Linked DNA regions of Cricetulus griseus. The protein of the gene in region 1 interacts with the protein of each later gene in a pairwise test. Links are inferred from orthologs where the notes say so. Each region holds a gene or a part of one and is shown in the gene's direction. Other genes may lie near its edges.

What was found. The genes of interacting proteins can lie anywhere in the genome.
Region 2: the proteins of Homer1 (region 1) and CUNH1orf116 interact in binary tests that used the Homo sapiens proteins (3 or more experiments, as listed by UniProt). The link is inferred for Cricetulus griseus from reciprocal best matches to the Homo sapiens genes HOMER1 and C1orf116.

Annotation. Positions count from the first base shown.
Region 1 is NC_048595.1:312,037,604-312,043,644, forward strand, and holds the start of Homer1 (homer protein homolog 1), read left to right. Parts: upstream 1-1,994; 5' UTR 1,995-3,224; coding exon 3,225-3,229; intron 3,230-6,041. UniProt on the Homo sapiens protein: Postsynaptic density scaffolding protein. Binds and cross-links cytoplasmic regions of GRM1, GRM5, ITPR1, DNM3, RYR1, RYR2, SHANK1 and SHANK3.
Region 2 is NC_048598.1:58,300,389-58,306,251, reverse strand, and holds the start of CUNH1orf116 (specifically androgen-regulated gene protein), read left to right. Parts: upstream 1-1,789; 5' UTR 1,790-2,230; coding exon 2,231-2,335; intron 2,336-5,505; coding exon 5,506-5,683; intron 5,684-5,863. UniProt on the Homo sapiens protein: Putative androgen-specific receptor.

The DNA of each region.
Region 1 (6,041 bases):
CACACACACACACATAACAAATACATACCTGTGAGAAAAAAAGAAAAAAAGCTCCCAGAGTTCTTAAAATTTCAAAGTAAAGCAAGATCACAGTTTTATAATGTGAAGATAAATGACCAGGCAGTGATCAGTTGCAAATTTGTCCTATCAGTTTTTGCTGATTTCCTTTAATCTTGGGTTCCAAGCTAAAGCAAGAAAATGTCAATGCAAAAAAAAAATGTAAAATCATTGTTCCTTAATTCAGAATTAAGTGTTAACATTAAAAACATGTCTCAAAATCCACATGTAGCAGGCAAGCATGTGACACTCCTGCAATTGCATTGCTCAAGGGAGACTCCGAATCTTAAGTCATCTTGGGCTAAATTACTGAGACCCTGTCTTAATCAAAACAAAAACAAACAAACAAACAAACAAGCAAAACTAGTCCTGGCTGAGTCTATAGAGTTTTAGCTCATTTTATTTTGAACTGCATTGGTATTGATTTATTATTTTTCTAAGGACAACTTCATGATTTGGTAATACTATTATGTCCTGGATTTTCCAGGCCACTTCAGATTTTGAATAATCTGTTTAATGTCAAATGACTTCAGTTTGTAAAATATGGTCACTGAATTTATAAAGTAACTGAAATAATGGCCCTTAGCAGTATGCAGCAATTCTATTTCTGGGCCATGATTGTCAAGTTAAATCAAATAAAAGTTAAGTCCAGCCTGTGAATCGACCTAATAAATGGCTATCTTAGGATAATGAGACCACTTTAAAACTGTATGATTTTAAAAACACGATTTTCACGTATATAGCTATAAAATTATGGATGGTTAATCATCCTTGCCATATAGAAAATGTAAATGTACTTGAGAGTTATTGTGGTTACAAGACTCAAAAACATGTTAATGTATGTTTGTGAATTAAAAGGATTGGGTGACAGACCTTTGCATCCAGACTGTAATTGATATTCTTGGTAGGTCAGAACTGAAGGGATTCATTAGCATTTGCGATGCTGCAGAACGATAATTATCTGAGGGATCTAAGTTTTACTTTAATGAATTTGACTCATTATGCCATGCCGAACCATGCTTATGTTGTGAACCGCAACATTTAGAATCCCCCTCTGCCTTAATTTAATTTAACGTTTGTAAGAGGTTTGTTCTTAACTCCACTTAAAAAAAAAAAAAAGTCCATGCCATGGAGGGAGGGGGAGTTTAAAAGTTATCTATGTTCAGAATGGTATTCAGGACTCCTAAAATTAACGGTGATTTCCCCCAAGTCTACCAGTAGTGATCACTCTCCCTCCCACGTTTCTCTGCAGGTTGGAATGTTAGCAGCCCAGGGATGCTGCTGCAAACCCAGTGGGAGAGGGAGACAGGACATTACCGGCGACACTTCGGCACTGTTGCTAAGAGTGATTCACTCGCGTTTGGCACATTTGTGTCAAGGAAACCTCCTCCTGCCGCTTCCTTCTCCAAGCTCTCCTCCGACTGTCTCAGGCGCTTTGGCCTTTAAGAAGCGAGAGCAGGTGGGCACACAGCAGCTGGCCCAGCCCTCCTCCCCCCTGCTCTTTCCCTAATTTAGCAGTACTTCCGGCCGCGTGACATCATCCCCCGCACAGGGTGACGTGAGCGGAGGGTGACGTGTGTGCGGAGAGGAGCGCGCTGACGTTGCTATTTAAAGGTCCTCCTGCGGGGAGGATGGAGACACAGCGCGAGAACCCGGAGTGCGGAGCGGAGGAGGCTGTGGCTGCCCGGAGTCAGCGCTGGAGTCGAGCGCTTCGCCCATCCGCCGCCGCCGACCGCTAGGGTTGGGGAAGGAAAAAGGGACGGACCGAAGGACCAGCCGGCTAATCCCCTCCGGGCTGGTCCCTCACCTCCCAGCTCCGAGCCTGGGCCCCGCCTCCGCCGCGCCCCACCTCCTCCGCCGGCCTGCGGCGGCGGCGGCGCTCCGCCCCTCGAGCCGGGAGGGCCGCGCTCTTCGCCCCGCCCCGCCCGCCCCCCTCCCCTCTCCGCTCGTGCGCTCGCCTCACGCCGGCGGCGCGGACCGGGCAGCGGCGCCGTCAGCTGCGCTCGTTTCGGAGCCGCTCTGTGGTGGCAGAGGAGGCAGCGACGGGTGCCAGGCCGCCCGGGGCCGGCGGAGGCTGCCGCTGAGGGGAGTGTGAGGAGGCAGCGGCGGCCCGGGGCATGTGAGGCGGCACGGAGCGGGAGAGACGAGCCGGGGTGGGGGTACGAGCCGCGGCTGCTGTGCCTCGGACGAGCCGCGTGCCACTCGCCTCAGCGCGCGGCCGCTAGGAGCTGGGGGCTGGGTGCCGGGGACCGCGCGGGGCTGGGTTCTCTCTGATTCATTCATTCTCCGCTGCCTGGAGCCCGAGGCCGCCGGTGCTGCGAGGAGAGGCGGGAAGAGGGGGCGGCTGTGAGCGGGGCTCCATTGTGCTCGGCGGGGGCCGGGAAGCTGAGGGAGGTGGGCTTGGGCCCCCTGCGCTGCTCCCCGGCGGCCGCTGCGCCCCCAGCTAGCCGCCAGCCTGGAAATGGCTCCGCTGATGCTCCTCGAGAGAACGAATCGATCCTTCCCAGCCTTTTCTGCTTGCTCTCCACCGCCTCTCCGCTCCGAGTCTTAGGAGGACGAACATTCAAAGGACAGATTCCGATGTGGTGTGCTGTGCACATCGCGAGCGGCCGCGGTTTGCACTTGAGATTTTTTTCTTTATAATTTTTTTTTTAAGTGTAAGCGAAGGCAGACAGTGGCATTGCTGCCTGTAGGATTTTTATTAAAGTGCACGTCGCGTTGGGTTGCACGCTCCACCCCTAGGGACCTGGTGTGGTGAAATTTGAACCCACCGCCTTAGCCCAGAGAAGGCCGAGTTACCTGGCTCCCTGGAGTGTCGAGAGGACGTGAGCGAAATGACCAGCGAACTCGTTTTTTATAAGACTCGGTGAAGCTGGGTTTTGCGTTTACCTACATGTACACTGATTTTATGGAATAGTTGAGTGCTATATTCTCCGCGCAACCTTTTCAAATTCCAAATAAGCAAATGTTTGAACGCTTTGGTATCAGCGCGAGTGAATTCCTTTTACCGACAAGAACTAACTGAATTGTCAGCATCGTTGAATTACCTCCGGAAAAGATCTCGGGGGTGGAAAAGCAGCTGCAAAATAACAGACGGAGAAAATTCCTTGGAAGTTATTTCTGTAGCATAAGAGCAGAAACTTCAGAGCAAGTTTTCATTGGGCAAAATGGGGTAAGGATTTTGTGCTTACCACAGCTTTAAATCTGTTTGTGTGTGTGTGCAGTCTTGCGGTGGTGGTGACTGTTTATAATTCTACCCCTTGCTAAACGAGTACTACTTTAAAATAGAGATTATATTTGTATTATTGTAGAGCGACGCCAGAGGTCCTAATTAGAACGTGTAATGTTGTTTGTAACTCAGTTATAGTCTTATTAATGACATGTATGAAGACAATGCATTAAGTCTACCCTGTACCTCTTAATTGATGAAGCCGCTGTATAGGTTACCAAAATCTTGCCATCTTAGGTTTGGTTGACCGGTAACGTTCAAAGAGAAGGGCTGCATTCTTCCAGTACTTTGTAGAAACAATCAGTTGCACAAAGGGACGATTGTAATGACTAGTTAGACTACAGTCCTTGAAACTGATCCCTTGTAAGTTGTCGCCCTCACTGTGCCCTGTGTTTTATCCTTGAACATCCGAAGCTAACTGCACAGCATTGGGTTTATTGGGCATTAAAACGAGAATCTCAGTTTCTCACTGTTGCGGTCTCCACAGTGTGGTTGCTAAAGCGAGAAAGCTTTTGGTTGAAGGAACGTGTTCACTTTTTCTGATTTTCTCTTTTAAGCTTAGACTTTTAGCTGTGTCAGCAGTGTCAGATTTACATCTTCGACATAAGCCAGCCAAGAGTGCATTTCCCAAACTTTTAATTCTAATGTTAGGAGCTCTTCTTTATTTAAGCTGGAAACCCGTGTTATGGGAGTGGCGATCTGTTCATTTCTTCAGTGGATGGTCGATGCTGTCTCTGCATTCTTCCTGTGGTCGAATTAACAGCGGTAAATATATAGTTGAGGGACAAAGTTTGAAATAATGGATTTTGAAATTCTTTGTGATGGTTTATTAGCAGCACACAGTTTTCTTTAAAGTTCGAGAGTAGTTTCTTTTTGTTCTGGCAGTTAAAATTTGAAGTTTATTAGCATATACAACTTTGAAAATGTAGAGCACGTGTCACAGGAGTCCTTCCTCAGAAATTAATTACGAGTTGATAATTATGTTTAATACTTAAATGACCAGGATATAAATGTAATTAAAATACCTTCTATTTCTGGTGCTGCTAGTAGCTTGGTGACCTGCAAATCATTTAACCTTTATGAACTGTATTCTTACCTGTAAAATAAGGAATTTAGAAGTTTTCCAGCCTGTAAAAATGAATTTTTTTTCCCTCCTTCCCTCATTTAATAGTCAGTAGCTGGCTTTTTTCTTCTAAACACTAGGAAATAATGGTGTTTGAAAATATTTTGAATCAGTTGCATCAATTTTTAAATGAGAAAATACTAAAAAATATTAATATTGTAAACCTTTGAAATATGGCTTCCCGTAATTTTATGCAGCTCCACAGTTTAAAATGCATTGTTTAAGGCTTGTTGGAGTGTCACGTGTACTCGAACCTACACACAAAATCAAGTGGCAGTTTTTTATTGAGAAGATTGCATTCTCCAGACTGGAGTGGTAACATAGAAGAGAACCAGTTTTCTGTGTCTCTTATATTACATGAATGTCCACTGTTTTACCAAGTGAAGAGTGAGATTAACTTAATACTAAAGGAGACTATCCTTTGAAATGTGAATCTAAGCTACTTACATGAAACACATTTAGACACTTAGCATAATTTGTTTATAAACAACTCACTAGCCTTTTTGCTAAAAATATTTTAAGAGGCTGGAGCGATGGCTCAGGGGTGAAGAGCAGTTGTTGCTCTTTCAGAGGACCTAGTTTCAATTCCCAGCACCCACATGGTGGTTCACAACCCTCTGTAACTCCAGTTCCCAGGGATCTGATACCCTTTTCTGACCACCACAGGCGCCAGGATTGCAAGTGGTGCACATACATATATGCAGGCAAAACACTGATAATGCACAGAAATTAAAAATTGAAAAATAAATAAAAGTTTTAAAATGACATATAAAATAAGGCTGTAATAGAGTGGAGACTGGTGAGTACTATGATTTGAATTTACCCCTTTAAAATTCAGGTGCCAAAACTTCATGGCCAATGCGATGGTAGCTGAGTATTGAGAGATCTGGAAAAAAGAGCTGGAGAGATGGCTCAGTAATTAAGAGCACTTACTGTTATTTATGTGACTCTTTCTTGTTGGGGTGACTTGGTTTTTCTATGTTGTTGAAAGATGAAGAGTTGGTGGAAATAGAAGAGAATGTCATACAGCAAAGGCATTTGCAGAAGTTTCTGCCCTTTGTAAGTGTAAGCATAGCCATCTGGGCCTCTTTGAAACATGTTAATAGTATATGACCTTTAAAGTTTTCCCAGGCAGTCCCAAATTACCGTACTTGGACGAATATCCAAGATTTCACATGGATAAAGAAGTTTATATACTACAGATGGATTTACATTAGCTTTAATTGTAGGTGTAGTTAAGAGGTAAATGAATTATTTTCTTAAACTAAAATAAATGATTAGGCAGGAAAAATGATTCCTGTAATACTAGTTTATGAACTATGGAAAAGGAAAGGAACAGCTGAAACCAGCAGTTGGCAGAGTCTGTCAAAGTTGCATGCACTGTTTTTAATTAGGGTGAGGTCAGCTCAAGTGTGGCTGTGTAAAAATAGGTGTATCAGACACCTTACAAATAAACAACAATTGTACATGTAAGATGAAACCCATGATCCTCTCAGTGAGGAATACCTGTTAGGTTGTGCGCACTCAGGATCATATCATAATGTACTTAGTGAGTCTGGAGCGCTTCCAGAACACTTGTAAGGCAACCATATCAAGTCACTTCAGCCAGTTATTTTGAGCTACCTTTTGTTT
Region 2 (5,863 bases), on another chromosome or scaffold:
CAGGGTATACATGGAATTCACTCTCTCCTTTCCCTGAATCTATCCCTAGGAAATAGTTCAGCAGTGAGGGGTAGGGCGCCCTGAGTCCCTCCTCCATCCTTGCTTGGTTGTTGGTGGGCCCATTCTTGTGCAGACCCAGGGCAGTCTTCAGAAGTTGTTGAGAGGTCATGATTACATGGATATGCTATGCCTAGATGGTGACATCACACACACACACACACACACACACACACACACACACACACACACTCACACACTCACACGCCTGTGTGCTGCATTTCTGACTCTTTCAGTCTTTCTACCCACTCTTCCACAATATTCCCAGAGCCTTGGTGGGGACAGTATGAATGCCTTGTTTAGGACTGAGCACCCAACTGTTGCCTACACTTAGCACTATGTGCAGACATGTTTCTGCACATAGCAGTTTTGAGTGCTTCTGCAGAATGTTAGGAATTGACTCTGTACCTGGATAATCACTAAAGAAATGCAAAGCTAGGATGGCTAAACTCAGTCTACAAGGGTTCTTGAGTGTCTGTTTCTTTGAGTTTGGGATGTTGAGGAACTGACCTGGTGGAGAAATCCCAGAGCTACCCCACCCACCATTGATTAGCATGGGGCTTCTTTGTTGTCCCTTCTCTTTTGGGCCCCACTCATCTCCTAAGAGGCTGTGAATCCTATGTGTCTGACTCGGGATCCTGTCTTTTTCTCTCCCAAGCATCTTGCCCCATTTATGGGTCTCTCCTAAGCAAAGGAGTAGCCTTGTGAGGCCTTGCCTGACTCTTGCCAGCATGACCAGGTTGGAAGACCTAACTGAACCCAAAGCTGACATTGGCACTGCAGCAACTATTGGCAGAGGAATATGTACCCTGGCACCTAAGCCCCAAGTCCCCAGATCTCCAATAAAACATTCTGTCCCAGGACAATTTACCTTCTATTAGGAGAGTAGCAGAAATGATTAAAACATAGTATAGTGTTACAAGCAAAATATGAATCTGAGTCATATAAAATTTATTGTAATTCTAGCTCTCCCTTAACTTTCTGTTTAAAAATCTTTCAGATTTTCATTTTCCATAAAAAGAGTTACTCTTGCCCTGCCCTGGTCTGGTGGGCTATTTCCCACAAACAGATGTGAAAGAAAGAAACCCTTAGGAAGTTTAGTGGCAGCGACGAGGTGGCTTTTTGTTTGTGTTTGGTTTTTGCTATTGCTGTTGCCACAATGAACTTGGACTATTTCTCCCCATAGAAGCTGGGTTTAGAGAGGATCTACACTGGACATTTTTTCTCCTTCATTTGACGTAGTCCAGGGAACTTCACTGCGAATGCATAAATGGCAGAATGCAAGTGTTAACGTGAGGGAAATGGGACTGCTCTCAACCATTGCAGGTGCCCTGTTCATATGGCCGAGGGCAGAAAGATGACAAGTCAGCCTTCTTGGTGGCAGTGTCATATTTATGATATTATTAACAGTGATTGCAACTGACATTATTGGGCATATACTGTACTACATAGGCTATTCCATTTTTCTATTCTCATAATGACTAAGAAGTACATTATTAAGGGCCCTGTTCCTTCTCTCAAGCCTGTAATACCCCATTTAGACAGAACCCTTCTCTCCAAAACTCTTGTTCCCAGTGCTTGGGTTTAATTTGATCTGAGGTGGATTTTTATAAGAACAATAGTATCTGCTACCAACAGAGCTGTGTGTCCTAACTAGCCTCTCATTTAATCCTTGCATTAATCATATTTAACAAGTAATTCATCTAAATGCAAATCACTAAGTGGTTCAACTGGGTTTTGAGCCCAGAACCCAAGCCCTCAACCTTGTAATAGGTATTGGTTTTTATAATGAAATTACAATTCAAACTCCTTGCTTCATAAAAGAAAAAATAAAAAGCAGCTAAGAGGAAGACCAGAACCTCTTTTCTGACTAGCCTGCATCTCTGCTCCCTGAATCCATCTTCCTGAATGCATTTGAGCTAGCTTATGTGTCCCTCCATGCAGACTGAGGGTGGAGTTCAGACATGACCGGTCCATGGCTCCCTTCCAACTCTGTGCTTGCTTGGTATCTTGCTGCCATGAAACCCCAGGGCCTGAGCAGTGCTTTGTAGAAGCCTCTGCTCACACGTGGCTTTGATTGTTCTCTTTTCAGGCCCAGCTTGGGACATTCTTCACTTCCATTCACTTCCCCTCTGGGAGCCCCTTTCACCACCCCTGCGCCTTGCTTCAGGCGATGCCCAAGAGGGAGCTTTGGCCAGCAGGGCCTTGCTCAGAACTTGTGACCCACATCGGCAGCTGTGACAGCATGATGAGCACCACCTCCACCCACTCTGGATCTGTATGTACTCTCTCCCTCTTGCAGCCTGGCCTGCTCTGCATACCTGCCCCACCCCACCTCGCCCTGCCCTGCTGTGCCGCCCACCGTCATTCTCTGCACCTTCTCTTTCATCTTCTTCACCAGGGACTGAATCACTGGATTCTTGCTGCTTCTGAGTCAGCTCTGGTTCTATAGAGAATTGGGTGGGACAACCTCAGAGAGCAATAGGATCAATACCCAACCACCCACGTTTTCATTAGATTAAAGGGCTTAGGTGGGGAAAGGAGCAGGCGCTTAGGTCGTGGTGGAAACTGGAAGGTAGATTTCTATCGAACATGAACTCTTAGAATCCTCTGCAATGAGGATAGCACGGCTTCCATTTTCCACAAAAAGCGAAGGAAATGGAGTAGTTGGGAGCCTTATGGAGCTGAACGAATCCAGATTCCCTCCTCAGAAGCCAGACTACCTTGGGCATATCACCGATTTCTCTATGCTTCAGTCTCCTCGGTTTGGGGTTGTTTGTTTGTTTGTGGTTGAGACCCTGGCTTGTGGTCTCACTGTGTTACCCTGGCTAGGCTGGCATTCGCTATTTCAACCAGGCTGGCCTTGAACAGAGAACCACCTGCCTCTGACTCCCAAGTTCTGGAATTGAAGGTGTGCACCACCATGCTGAGCTAGTCTCAGTTTTAAAATGGGGAAAATGTCAACACCTAATCATAATGGCTCTTGGAGGGAGTAATAAGTTGTGCTTGTTGCATGACTTTTCCTGGGGAGGCTTGACAGAACACAGGCAGACCAGAGATTGTTCCTAATATGGAGACTTACTTACAGGAGCATTGGTGACACTGAGCATGGGTGACAGCTTAAAACCTACATCCCCGTAGCTCCCTGTAACCAACTAACTTACAGATAGTCTCCCTTCCCCTCTCTCAATCTCTCAATATCTCTCTCTCCATCTCTGCCTGCATCTCTGTCTGCAAATGTCTACTGCCTACGAAACCATGTGAATATTGGAGCTTTCTGAACTCCCTAAGCAGTCTAAGTTTGTCAGTCATCTTTCATAAGCTTCCCCAAAGGGAGTGTCTGGGGTTAGAGGACAGCTAAGCAGCATTAAATAGCATTTAGAAAGCTAGGGCTAGGGTGCTGCCCAGCAGTAAACTGATTACCTAGTGTGGACAAGCCCTGGGTTCTATCCCCACTGCCTCATAAAATAAGAGAAAATAAAAGCTATTCTTTCAGAGTATATTGACACACACCAAGTCTCAACACCTGGAAAGCTAAGATAGAGAGTTCATGTTCTCCACCAGCTTGTGCTATATTGTAAAGCTTTGTCTAAACAAAAAAGGTTTATGAAATGGCTCAGAAGATAGAGGTAGAGTTTCTAGTGTCAGAATTCACAGGGCACAAAGAAGAAACTGACTCTTGCATGTTTCCTACTGACCTCTATACACTCAGTAGAACACACATGCCCACAAACACACACATGCAAAAGAAATAAACATTTAACATAATAAGATAAATAAAGCACTTACCATTTACCTCTATTCAGAAAATAAATGGCCCTCTATGGACAGAGATAGAACCATCCACAATCACAATGCTTAGCTGTTTGTGAGGGCATGTAATAAGCTGTTTTTTTTTCTGGACATGATTTTAAATTCTAAGTGTTATAAGGTTAGGGTGAAGGAGTAAATATGCCTTCCATTCAAATGTAAGAATTCCTTTGCTGTTTATCATTGTAACAAAGGGTTTGAACTTTATTGTCCTAAAAAGTTTGTGAGAATTTAGACTGTGGCTGGAGACACAGCTCAGGGGAAGTGTTTGCCCTGCAAGCACTAAGACCTGGGTTAGATCCCCAAAAACCACAAAAAAACACAGTGAATACGAGGTGGAGAGAGGTGAATCAAGAATTCCAGGCTATCCTCAGCAAATTTAGGACTAGCATAGGCTACATGAGACCATCTCAAAGAAAAGGAAAGAAGAAGCTGGGTAGCAGCAGTGCACACCTTTAATCCCAGCACTCATGAGGCAGAGGTAGATGGATCTCTGAGTTTGAGTCCAGCCTGGTCTAAAGAGTGATTTCCAGGACAGCCAGGGATTACACAGAAAACCCCTGTTTTAAAAAAAAAACAAAAGGGGGGGGGATCAAAGAAAAAAAAAGGATTATAAAACGTTTCTAACAAATGTTAGTATTTACTCTATTTAGTGGGTTGGTTGGTTGGTTGGTCGGTTGATTTGGAGACAGAGTCATGCTGGAACTCAGTAGTGAGCCCACCTACCTGGATGGCTAGTTAATAAGTTTCATTATAAAAAAGGTAGAGCAGAAAAGGCAAAGTGCTTCAAGTATATGCAAATTTTCCTTTTGACATGAGAGGCTGGGAACACAAAGATGGCATCCTATTTCTGACTGGTAGAAACCAGCATGAATAGTCACATTCCATCGGATAATCTATAAAGGAAAAATCCAGAAGGCAGTGATGAAGACCTTTATTCAAGTAACTCCAAGAGCTGTGTGGGGGACTCTCCCTTGTTATGCAGGCCCAGTCAACTGACAGGTGACTTTAAGGGCAGGCAAGACTGGGGCTGGGGCCGGGGTATTTAACAGCCTCTTTGCCACTCTCCAAGTTATTTCTAGGACTATCTGGCAACCTTCCCCAGCAATCTTGGTGAGTCTAGACAGTAACCAGAAGAGGAGTGGAAGCTCAGACCAAGTGTCACATATCCCCATAGTTGCTTGTGGTTTTTACCTAGCTGCTGGTGGCACTGGCCTGCCAGGTGGCTGCTGAGAGGTGGCAAAAGTTCTTTGCAACGTTAAAGGAGATACAGCTGAGTTTTAGCCCATACATGTTGTTGCCCATACAATTCACAATTAGATGGCAGACAAACTGGTAGAGATATTGTGTAAGATCACGTGGAACTGGAATGAAAACCTGGGCTGCTTCCGGTCTGGGCCACTTCTTCCTGCTGAGGACTAAGCAATAGGAAGTCCCCTTGCCACCTGCCTACCTAGCCTTCAGAACTGGGTCCTGGCAGGCTTTAGCCTGCCAATCCTCCTTGGGCCTACTGTTGCAGAAAGCAGCTTCACTGGTTGGCAGAGCAGAACCAGGGCAAGTTTGCCAGCTTTGTAGTATTCTTTGCCTGTAGCAGGCTGAGTCTCGGGCCCCACACCTCACAATTCCTTCTCCCTGCAGAGTGACAGCAGCTACGACTTCCTGTCTGCTGAAGAGAAGGAGTGTCTGCTCTTCCTGGAGAAGACCATTGGCTCACTGGAGGCCGAGGCTGACAGTGGACTGTCCACGGATGAGTCAGAGCCAGCCACCAGTCCTCGAAGCTTCCGAGCACTGCCCATCACCCAGCAGGCTCCCCAGGGTAAGAGACTGTCTAGGGAGGCAGAACTCAGAAATGTCTCCTGAACGCTTCCCACCTTGTTTGCCCTCTGCTGCAAGCTCCTAGGCAGAAAGAGGCCTGCAAACTCCTAGCCAGACTAAAACCTCCTCTGCAGAGGGGAGAGGGACTTCTGAGAAGTCAGCTTCTGGTGACTTTCTATGA